Linked DNA regions of Notamacropus eugenii. The protein of the gene in region 3 interacts with the protein of the main gene of each other region in a biochemical or structural test. Links are inferred from orthologs where the notes say so. Each region holds a gene or a part of one and is shown on either strand. Other genes may lie near its edges. The genes, in order: RBBP4, CDK3 and RB1.

Region 1 (3,745 bases), about 31 Mb from region 3:
ATCCTAGAGTAGATCCTCAGATCTAGGATAGCTAGATGGTACAGTAGATGGACTACTGGACCTGGAGTCAGGAAGACACCATTCAAATCCGGCATGGGACATTTACTAGTTTTGTAACTCCAGGCAAGTCACTTAATTTCTGCCTCAGCTTCCTCATCTGTAAAACAAGGATAATAACAGCACCTACCTCCCAGGGTTGTTGTGGTGTTTTAATGAGATATTTGTAAAGTTCCTTGTAGACAATAAAGATCTATATAAGAGCTCACTATTATTATTTTGATGCCACTCCTAGTGCTTTTAACCATTAAGATATTCAGATCACCTGGTTACATCTGGAAGCCACTGTGCAGTCAGGCTGGGCCACTCTAGGGCATGGGTCATCACTAAGTCATAGAGAAAAGGAGTATTTTTTTTCCATATTTTATACTCCTCGTTGATCACTCGTTCTTCTACAGCATCATCAAAGGCTGCTAAAAAAATAAAATAAACGGAGTTAACCTCCAGATGTGAGTACTTTGAAAAATGAAACATGGCACACATTTCTTTCCTCAGGCAGCTTGTGAGGGACAGGAGTATCCAGCCCCTTGTACAAGGTGTTAATCCTCCAAATCTTCCCCCTTTCCCATTTGTGTGGGACTGTAAAGAACTTCAGGGCTCATTTCATAGGTTTAATGGCTGGAAAAAGCTTTTTGGAGATTGAATTCAGCCCCTTCCTTTTTCAAATGAGTAAACAGGGGCTAACAAGAAAAAAATGGGACCGAGCCAGTCGAAGGTGACAAATCTTACTGCGTGCTTAATACAAAGAACGCACTAAAGGTGCAAAGGTTAAAAAAAATACCCATCCTTCAGAAACATTCCCGGAGGGTGAGCGGATGTAACACAAATAGATAAGGAATGGGATTCTCCAGTCAGAAAGAGTGCTAAGAGCGAGGGCGAGCACGTCAAGGTCCACTTTACTGGAGTTCTTCCAAGCTTCCCCCGGGAGACAGGACGCGCGAGGAGCCCTGCGAAGTCCAGAACTCCGGGACGCCCAGCGGGGGGGAGCGCTCCAGGCAGGAGCCGGGGCCGAGCTCGGGGCCGAGCGGAGGGGTCGGCGAGGCTCCACCGGGGACAGCGTCCGCAAAGGCCGGGCTGGACCACGAGGGACTTCAGCGTCCGCGAGGGTTTCGTCCTCCATCCCGTGCCCACTGGGGAGCCCGCTGGGGGCACGGGCAAGCCCAAACTCGCCATCACACCCGGGCTTCAGGCGGATTGTTCAGGAGGCGGGCACGGATGCTGGAGAAAGCCCCCAAGTCTCATCCTCCAGCTCTCCAAGTGAAGCCACCTGTCCAAGGTCACTCAGCCGGCGTAGCAGCGCCGTCGGTCGGCAGGACTTGGGTTCCGATTCCGCCTTGGCTACTCGCTACCCCGCGAACTTGGGCAAGTCCCGCGCCCTCGTGCGGCCTCAGTTTCCCCAGATGTAAGAAGCGGGGGATGGAATCCCCAACTTGGCAGAGCTCGCCGCCGCGCACCCCTCCCCCCAGCCCCAGGGGGCCTCCTTCCTGGGGACGGACACGTAGACCAGGCGGAGAGGCCTGCGGGAGGATCGCAGTCCCGGGACACCGGGAAGAGCGGGAGGCCGCGGGTGGGGAGGGCTCCTCTCACATCCCTCCCTTCGCGGTCTGGGAGGGCCTATTCGGGCGGCCGGGAAGGCCCCCTCCTCCGCGCTCGGCCCCCTTCCCTCCCCCTGCTCTCCTCACCTTCCTTGTCGGCCATGGTGGGCGAAGAAGCTGACGGACTGAATGACGGGCGCAGGGGCCGGGGACTCCCGGGGTCGCAGCACCGCGAAGGGGGGGGGGGTGAGGGTGAAGGGGTGGGGGTGGGGAGGGCTCGACGGCGCTCGCTCAGAGCGCGCGGCCTCTATTGTTTCCTGCCGCCCCTGCGTGTGGCCCGAGTCGCGCACCTTCGCGCCAACGGCGGCCAATCGGAACAGGCTCAGGCGAAAGGAGGGGGGCGAAAGGGGAGGAGGGCGCCACGGCGGTGGCCAATTGGAAGGCGCGTCGCCACCGCGAGCCGGCCTCGGCCTCGAGGTCTACCCCTCCCCCCAAGGTTTGGCACCGCCTCCTCCTCTCCCCGCGCGGTCGGGTTGCCGAGATTAGCGAGCGCGCGCAGCCCAGCCGCCCGGGAAAACGGTTGGTGGTCACGTGAGCGGGGCGGGAGGGGGAGGGGAAAGCTGGAAAACGGGGGAAGGCTCGAAGCTCCCCTGGGAGGCGGCCATTTTCCAAAGTCAGGCTCCATTAAGGCTCACCCGAGGTTCTGGCTTTGACCTCCTTCGACGGGAGAGTCCCAGGACCCCCCTCCATTGAGGCGAGAGGGAACTTGGGACCCTTTACGGAGGGTAGCCCAGCTTCTTTCCTCGGGGGCGAACGCACCGTCACCTAGACCTACAGTAGTGTAAGGGCTGGGGGGGAGGGGGGAGCCAATTTAGCCCCCGACTGTCTCCCTGTCAGCTCCTCCCACTACGTGATAAGGCCTAGGGTCAGCGACCGTAGCGGAGGATGGCTAAAACTGAGGCCTGGCCCTTTAAGGGCACGCGTCGCGGGGCGGGGACTCCGGGCGGAAGCTGCGCCGGCGAAGGGCGGAAGCGGAGCCTTGGCGGAGTAAGTCATGGCTCAGGAAGGGGAAGACGTGAGGGACTACAACCTGAATGAAGCGCAAAAGGCGATCAAGGCCAAGTACCCCCCGGCCACCCGGAAATACGAATGTGAGTGCTCTTCCTCTCAGATTTGGGGCGGCCTTCTACCTAGGGTGGAGAAGGGGCGCTCTCGAGGCGTGAGACGGCCGCAGTGGCAGTCCTTGCCCCGCGCCACTAATGGACCTTGGGCTCCCTCGTCTTACCGCGCCCCATTTTGCAGAGGTGTAGCCTGAGATGGAGAGCCCAGAGTCCCACCGAGAAGATGCCCAGGGCACACACTCCACAGGGCCCCTGGCCGGTTTCCTGCTCGCGTCCCTCCCGGGTCTGAGCCGCAGCGTCCTTTTCTGTAAAAGACTAGATCACAGGATCGCAGATTTAGAGTCGGAGGGCATTTAGTCCAGTCTCATTTCACAGAATCCTCCCACCCATTGAGAAGGCAAGCTGTGTGATGCCCATTATGTGGATGAAGGCATGCAAAATATGGGTCTATATTGGCCATGTGTTACGGAGTATGTTAAATATAAATGTGTGCGCTATATGCGTTTAAAGTTCTTAGGGTTTTGGGGTAAGAGTCACGGGATTATAGATTTACAATTAGAAGGGATCTCAAAGGTCATTGGTCTAGGCTTTCATTTTACAGATGAGAACATGGTTCCAGAGAGGTTAAGTGACTTGCCTAAGGTCAAACTGGTATTAGAAACTCAGCAGAGTTTGGAATTTGAACTCAGGTCTTATAACTCCAAGTGGGATGTTCTTTCCATTGGTTCACACTACTATAGTAAAGTAGGAGAAGCTGCTGAGTAAATTTAAAGGCAGGCAATAAGTATTTAGGGTCCTTTGTAGTGGATAAAAAAATGAGTTCATAAATATTTTAGTGGCCACTCTATACAAAGGATTATACTAGGTATTTTTCCCTTAAAGAATTTATGGTCTAGTTGGGAATCCAGAACTAGTATGCATGGAAGAATTAGAGAGCATTATAATAATATGTTAATTGAGCATTAAAATTGTAGGTTGCTACAGGAGTTCAGCAAAGAGGGAGATAAGGGAAGATGAGTTAGGGAAGTTGGC
Region 2 (3,745 bases), on a different chromosome or scaffold from region 3:
AACGGTTTTAAATGTGAGGATGGGAGCAGGGAAGATAGGCCAAATACAGAGGCACTCCAGCATAGAGGATTTGTTGCCAAGAAATCTGGGGTTCAAATTTTGACTCATATACTTACTAGCTGTGTGACTTTAGGTAAATCATGTAACTGCTCTGAGGGTCGGTCCTCATCTGTAAAATGGGGATAACAATAGCACCTCCTCCTTTACAGGATTGTTGTGAGTATCAAATGTAAAGTCCTTGGCAAACTTTGAAGTGCCATTCAAATGTTAGCTATGTTGTGGTGGAGGGAGTGGTTCTAACTAATGAGGCAGAGAAGAGCAAGATAAATGCAGGAAACAAAAAACAGATGGGTTTGGCTGATTGGATTGACTCCTGCCAAAGCAGGCATAGCTCCTCACCCTAACTGGACCAGACTCTGGACCAACAGCTGGAGTCGGATACCCTCTTTTCCATCTTCCATTCACCTACCATGAGCAGGTCTTTGCCCTCTGGGTCAAGACTAGGCACAATCTCCTCTATTGACTTCTTGGTCCACTTGGGGAAACTGCCCTTATAATCTGGCAGCTGGGTGACCCCTGGCCACATGGCTTCACTGGGTGTGCCAAGGGTCCGAAAAATTCGAAACAGCTGGTCAATTTCAGAATCACCAGGAAATAGGGCCCTGCGTGTCACCTAAAGGGAGAGAACTCCTTGTTACCCCCAGCACCTAATTCCTTTTTCTTAATCTCCCCTTTCCCTATCTCCCTCTAAACAGAATCCAACACAGAGTAAACTTTTAGGGCTTGGTGAAGAAGGTCAAAAGTAGAACGTTTTGAGCTAACCTGTTTCCAGGGTTTCTATAGCTGTGAGGTACGGTTATAGTTTGCTCAGCCCTCCAGCTAGCCCGACTCCTACACCACCCAGAAGACTGAGCCTAAATTCAGCAGGACACCCTCCTTTGTCTCCCTTTACCATCTCTGCAAAGATGCAACCAATGCTCCAGACATCCACAGCTGTTGAGTAGAACTTGCAGCCCAGGAGAATTTCAGGGGCGCGATACCAGAGGGTTACCACCTGTAGGGGCAGAAGCCAGTGCCACTCTGGGCCACCCTGGTGGTTGAGTGGTAGTCCAGCCCACATACAAGTAAAGCTCTGGTCCCTAACCCAATAGTACCTCATGGGTGTAGGTACGCAGGGGCACACCAAAGGCTCGGGCCAGCCCAAAATCAGCCAGCTTGATGGCACCTAATTCATTGATGAGAAGGTTCTGGGGCTTTAGATCACGGTGGATGACCCGATGGGAGTGGCAGAAATTTACTCCTTGGAGCAGCTGGAAGAGGTAGCTCTAGAACAGAAGGGCAGAGGCTTAGTGGGAGTATAACTGGGTCTGGGTAGGTAGGAGGCACCATCATCCCCACCCTCTCTTATTTCATGGTACCTTGACCAGATGCAGGGGAAGTTCTGTGGCTGCAGCTGAGTCCATATATTTCTTCAGGTCCTGGCTGAGGAACTCAAACACCAGGTACAGTTTTTTCTCACTGTGCACCACATCCAGTAGCCTGATGAGAAGATTCTAGTCACAAAAAACTAGGAGCATTCCCAGTCAGGGGGAGGTAGGGTGGGGAGGGCCCCTCATTCTCTTGGGCCTCTCCCCTCTAACTTACCTGACGATATTGGGGTGCTTAAGTTCTTTGAGAAGGGAGATCTCCCGAATGGCAGTGCTTGGGACACCCTCCGTCTCCCTGCAGTAAGGGATGGGTTGCGGGGGATGAGACTGGAGGCAGGAGGCACGATCTAAGGACGCAGCATCTAGCTTGAGGGCCTTGCCCAATCGTCCTCCTCCTGAGATGTCCCCCTGCCCACACCCTCACCCCTGACTCTGTGGGTACGAGAACAACCCTCTCTGTCTGAAGCAGGTGTCTCAAGCTTGGAATCCCCCCCACACACACCTGGGTACAAGGAGAGGGGCAGAAAGGTGGGGGAGGACAGAGGTTAGGAACTGAATGTGAGCCCTGCGGCTGGGAAGGTGGGAGAAGGCCACGGCGGGCGCCCGGGGGAAGGTGGCCCCTGCCCGGGCACTCACGAGTCCAGGCGAATCTTCTTCAGGGCCACGAGCTGGCCGGTCTGTCTGTTCCTCGCCTTGTACACCACCCCGTAGGTGCCCTCCCCGATCTTCTCCACCTTCTGGAACACGTCCATGCTGGCGCTGCCTGCCTGGGGGTCAGAGGGCCTGCCCTGAGCATGCCTGGCCCCCCTGGCACCACCACCAGACCCCTGGGTGACCTGCCCCTCCATCCCCGCTGCCCCCTCCTGGCAGTGCCCTGGCATGGGGCTCATCCCCCCCTGCCCCACCCTCAGGCTCTCTTCCACCCTTGGGGCCTGTGAGCTCCGGGGCCTGGGGACAGGTCCTCCAGGGCACTAGGAGGCTCCCCAAGCCTGAAGCCAAGCCCCCCACCCCGGCCTGCCCGCTGCTGCCCACTACGGGGAGCAGGGAGGACCAAACCTCCTGTCCCTCCTGTGTCCTCTCTGCTCCCTCCCACCTCCCCCACTCCAGCTCAGGCTCCCTCAGGGGCACCCTGGGAACAGCCTGGAGGTCAGAGGTCAAAGGACAGCCCCAGGAGCCTCGGAGGCAGCCTTGGTGCCAGCAGGCTTTCGGGCCTAGTGCCTGCCTTCCCTGAAGGCCCTGCTTCAGGCCCTGCCCCGGGCCTGGGGCCTTCCAAGGGCCCCCCTCCCTGCACAGGGGCCCTGGGGGTCCCTGTCCCTCTCCCCCCTCCCCCACAGGAAGGTCACCAAGCACTCCAGGACCCAGCCCTTCCTCCTTCTGCGGCAGGTTCCCACACAGCCCTGGGGAGGCGTGAAGGGCCAGGCCCTTTGTCCTGGACTTCCAGGCCATAGCGGTGGGGGGGGGGGGGGGCAGTCCTCCCCTACCGACCCCAACCCCAAGAGCCCAAGTCAGAGTCCCCAGCCTTGGGGGTCATCTCGTAAGCAGTTCATCTCCAAATGTAACATTCTGGTGTTTGGGGCTCCCCCAGGGGGTTTCCTCAGAGAACGCTCCACAGAGAAGGCTGAGGCCCACAACATGGCTTCTGTAGCTGGAGGGCTGGAGGGGCCTCCCCAAGGCCGTCCTGGTCACCCCATCGCGGCTGATAACCTGGTAGACTCACCCTGGCCCAGGCTCTTAGGTTTCTTTATTTGTCCATGGGTTCCTCAGTCCCTTGAGTCTCATGTCTTTTCATGTCAAATAAAGGTTGTCTTACATCTGACAGGTACCCCTGGACCACACGTGTAGTCCTTTCTTCTGCTGTGCTTTGTGTATGGAAATGCTCACTGTATTTGGTGTCAGCTAAGTTCAGAATAAATTAATTACTGTTAAAAAGAAAAGCTATACCTAAGCTTTATTTAAGAGATTTCCCTGGAATAAATCTCTGAGGGTGGAGGTGATAACCAAAGAAAGAAACTTTGCCCCCAAGGACGCGACCTGGTCCACATGGGATGGGGGTGAGGAGGATTGGTCCATAGGTCACACAAAAACCACCTCATATGAATGCATGCCCAGCCCTCTAGAAAACAGAAAATATTTCTTCCATTAACCTTCATCACCATCTCCCCAAAAATGTGTCCGGTAAAATAAATGGGCCCTTTGGGGAAAGAGGTATTTGGTCCCTTAGAGCTCTGTTTTCACACTAGCATATGGGCTACGATGGACAGAAACAGATGAATGTTGGAGTGCCTTATACAGCCCACCCAGAACTCTGGGGTGGGCTT
Region 3 (3,745 bases):
ATTCAATTTTTTCACTAACTGCCTTCCAGTTTTCTCAGCAGTTTCTATAATACCTTTGTTCTGTATATTGTCTGTCATGACAAATAGGAATTGCTAATGTTAGGAAAACCACCAGAACTTGACTAGCTGAATAAAGAACGACATTTTCTACTACATCACCATCTGAAATCTGACCTCTTGTATTCTTTCTACTTATATATTTTAATTGTACATTTAAAGCACTCAAAATGTCTTCTATGAGCCTATTAAAAACACAAACCAAATAATATATCTGTTGTTGTTTAGTTGCCCCATTTGTGTTGCTCTTGGCAAAAACTGTGGAGTGGTTTGCCATTTCCTTCTTCAACTGATTTTACAGATAAGGAAACTGAGGCAAACAAGGTTAAGTGACTTGCCCAGGGTAACACAGCTAATAAATGTCTGAGGCCAGATTTGAACTCAGGAAGATGAGTCTGACTTCAGGCCCAGCACTCTCTGTCCACTCTGTCTATATGCCCAGTTTCATGGTAAGACCTTACAATAACATCAAGTTGACTTTTTTTTAAATTGTATATATTAGCATTCATTGCCCTTCAATAGATCCATAACCACAAAGTAGAAACAAATCTTGGCTTCCTTCAAATCCCAACTAAAATCCCACCTCATGCAAAAAAGCATTTTCCAATTCCCCTTAATGCTAGCGCCTTCCTTCTGTCCAGGATCTCCAATCTGTCCTGTATAGGTCTTGTTGTACCTTAGTTGTTTGCATGCAGTCTCCCCAATTGGATGGTGAGGTCCTTAAGGTCAGGGATTGCCTTTTGCTTTGTTGGTATTCCCAACACATAGCATGCTTGGTCTTAATGAATGTTTACTGGCTGGCTGACTGACTGGAGAGTAAACATACTAAATATATGTTTTTCAATATCAAACATAAAGAATGGCTACAAAAAAGAAAAACAACCAACAAGTTGTAACATACACATGACATACCACTCTGTAATATTCTACTGTATCCACTAGGGTTGCTCATATAAAGATTTCATTAAGTAAACAATTCCATGTGATTGGTCATGGCTGAACATCTTACAAAACAATACTCGATATCAGACATCAATGTCTCTACCCACCAAAAATTTAAAATCAATCAACTTTGACACGCTGATGCAGATCTACATGCAAGGAGTTTCATCTAAATTTGGGGAAAAAATAAAAATAAAGACGAAATTCATAGAACAACCCTTGTCAGTTTTACGTTTTAAGCGCTTGTGCTGTAAATTACATCACTGAAAGTGTTTCACAAGGGTTTAAAACATGGACCAAGAAAAAAAATGCTACTAATGAGTAATTTTCTTACAAAATCACTACAAATAACTTCTCATTTCCCACCTCCACACCTTACAGCATCGCCATACTCCGGGGCTCAGATCTCACTAGACTTCTCATTAGTCTGGTAACACTACAGAAGGGTGGACCCTCATTCTCAGCAGTTCCCACAGTAACTGTCCCCCACCACCACCACCCCGACACTAAGCTCTGGCAAGATGGTAAAAACAATACTTTTTATTAGCTTTATTACACAGGAAGTGACAAAGTATGATATGCGCACCCGCATTCAACACACCATTTAGGAGTGGAGGGGGCGGGGTGGGGGAGGGGGATGTCGTGGGGTTTCTTAATGTATCTCATCAGGGTGCGCTCGGACCCCAACAATCTCCGAACTCCACCGCACGGAACAGAACAGAACAGGATCCGTGGGCATCTCTGGAGAGGAAACAATGCTCTCTCCCCGACTAAGCACAGTCACCACCCCCACCCTCCACCACCCGAGAGAGAAAGAAGCCACCTGTCACTCCTTCTCCCCGGGACCCCGGCCCGCCCCACCCACCTGTCAACCTGGGGCCAAGGCTGCGGCCGGGAAGCCCCGTCCCCGCGGCCCGGCGCCCCGCGTTCGCAGCTGTCAGCCGGCCCAGGGGCCGCCGGGGGCTCGTGCCCCGCTCCGGGCTCGGGCCCGCAGGCCGCCTCGACGGGCAGCCGGCCCCTCCCTGGTCACGCCGCGGCGTCTGCCGGGTGCCCCGCTCCCCGGAGAGGCTCCGGCCCCGGCTCTCTCACCTGACGAGCGGCAGGTCCTCTGGGCCGCTATCCGGCTCCGGCTCCTCCTGGCGAGGGGGAGGGGAAGGCGGCGGCGGTGGCGGCTCCGGGGTCAGAACAGCCGGTTTCCGAGGGGCTTTGGGTGGCATGACTGACTGACTGACCGACCGACTGACTGGCAGGAGCGACTGGGGGGTTGGGAGGTGAGGGGCAAAGGGGAACACGCGCGCACGCGCTCTTCCCAAGTGAACGCGCCGCCCCAGACGCCCTTCGTCCTCTCTCGGCTCCCGTTAGAAAACTTTAAACGTTCTCCGAAAACAACCAAACAACCGGGAGAGCCCTGTCTCCACCCACCTCTCTAACCCTAGCCCGGCACCAAAAGCTCCGCGCTCAACCGCGGGAAAACGTCACTTCCGCTCCTGCGCGCTAAGTCCCACCGAGTTCCCGGGCCCGCCCGCCGAGCCTGGGAGGCAGAAGGGAGAAGGTCCGCGGCGAGAGAAGGGTGGGGCTGCGGGTGCCGGCCGCGGCGAGGCCACGAGCGTGTCGTGGGGCCCGGCCCCGTGCTGGGGGTGGGGTACCTATCGGGACGGAGAGGCCCGGAGCCCCGGCAACCAGCGCCGGCCTCTTCCCCTGAGCAGGCCCGGCTTGGGCCTGCCCTCTGGTTACCTGCAGCGCCGTCGTGCTCCCGAGCACGCGGCTCCTTGACTGCCCCGTGCTGTGGACGCAGGAGCCCGCATGCGTAAAGGAGCCCCTCCAGCCTCAGACGTAGGGAGTGTGACCCTGGGCGAGTCATCGCCCCTGTACTGTCAAACAGGGATAATCCACGAGCTGCCTCCCAAGGTGGCCGTGAGCATCCCAGGGGATCATTGCTCAGCTCTTCCCCAGGGCCTGGCACTCAGCGAGCGCTATGTCAGGGTTATCGTTTACCCTTACCCCAGTGCCGGATATATCGTTGTTGTTGAGTCGTGGGCAGCTAACTGTCCGTGGCCCCATTGGGGGTCTTCTTGGCAAAAACACTGGAGTGCTTTGCCATTCCTTCTTCCAGCTCATTTTATAGAGGAGAAAACTGAAAATAAAAAACAAAAACAGGTTACGGGACTTGCCCGGGGTCACACAATTCTTAGGTGTATGAGGACAAATTTGAACTCACTTCTTTCTGACTCCAGGCCCTCTGCTCAATCCATCGAGCCACCTAATTGCCTCCTGTCTGGCATATGGTAAACACTATCTATCTATCTATACGTGTGTATATGTGTCTATGTAGAGAGAGAGACACACGCATATATATGTTAGCTATTACTATCATCCTTATTAATTGTGAAGTGCTTAGCACACCTCCCAGTACATAGTAAGTGTATACAGATGTTAACTATCATTATTAGGACTTGATTTGATAGTAGAGTGGTTCAGTAGAAAGATCACAGGCTCTGAACTCAGAGGTCTTGAGTTCAGATAACCACTTCTGATGCTTACTGCTCCTGAGGTCTTAGGCAGATCAATGAATGTCTCTCAGCTCAGTTTCCTTATCTGTAAAATGAAGGGTTTGGAGCTGAATGGCTTTCTTATGTCCCTCCCAGCCATGATCTTTCAGCATGCAACACTCACTTTATTTTAGCTGAATGTGTGCAGTACTTAAAAGCATGCCAAGGGAGTCCAGGAGATAGTATTTTCAGACGTG

The links.
Region 1: the proteins of RB1 (region 3) and RBBP4 form a complex in vitro, tested with the Homo sapiens proteins (2 studies listed by BioGRID). The link is inferred for Notamacropus eugenii from reciprocal best matches to the Homo sapiens genes RB1 and RBBP4.
Region 2: of the proteins of RB1 (region 3) and CDK3, one has a biochemical effect on the other in vitro, tested with the Homo sapiens proteins (2 studies listed by BioGRID). The link is inferred for Notamacropus eugenii from reciprocal best matches to the Homo sapiens genes RB1 and CDK3.

The regions. Positions count from the first base shown.
Region 1 is NC_092876.1:77,231,581-77,235,325, forward strand, and holds the start of RBBP4 (histone-binding protein RBBP4), read right to left. Parts: upstream 2,401-3,745; 5' UTR 2,343-2,400; coding exon 2,288-2,342; intron 2,088-2,287; exon of another isoform or gene 1,756-2,087; coding exon of another isoform or gene 1,740-1,755; intron 1,460-1,739; coding exon of another isoform or gene 1,273-1,459; exon of another isoform or gene 1,073-1,272; intron 471-1,072; coding exon 323-470; intron 1-322. Other genes in the region: ZBTB8OS (protein archease), read left to right, coding at 1,273-1,459. UniProt on the Homo sapiens protein: Core histone-binding subunit that may target chromatin assembly factors, chromatin remodeling factors and histone deacetylases to their histone substrates in a manner that is regulated by nucleosomal DNA.
Region 2 is NC_092873.1:342,252,219-342,255,963, reverse strand, and holds the start of CDK3 (cyclin-dependent kinase 3), read right to left. Parts: upstream 2,287-3,745; 5' UTR 2,276-2,286; coding exon 2,064-2,275; intron 1,723-2,063; coding exon 1,645-1,722; intron 1,540-1,644; coding exon 1,419-1,539; intron 1,326-1,418; coding exon 1,155-1,325; intron 1,055-1,154; coding exon 953-1,054; intron 674-952; coding exon 470-673; intron 1-469. UniProt on the Homo sapiens protein: Serine/threonine-protein kinase that plays a critical role in the control of the eukaryotic cell cycle; involved in G0-G1 and G1-S cell cycle transitions. Interacts with CCNC/cyclin-C during interphase. Phosphorylates histone H1, ATF1, RB1 and CABLES1.
Region 3 is NC_092876.1:108,202,598-108,206,342, forward strand, and holds the start of RB1 (retinoblastoma-associated protein), read right to left. Parts: upstream 2,469-3,745; 5' UTR 2,217-2,468; coding exon 2,089-2,216; intron 1-2,088. UniProt on the Homo sapiens protein: Tumor suppressor that is a key regulator of the G1/S transition of the cell cycle. The hypophosphorylated form binds transcription regulators of the E2F family, preventing transcription of E2F-responsive genes.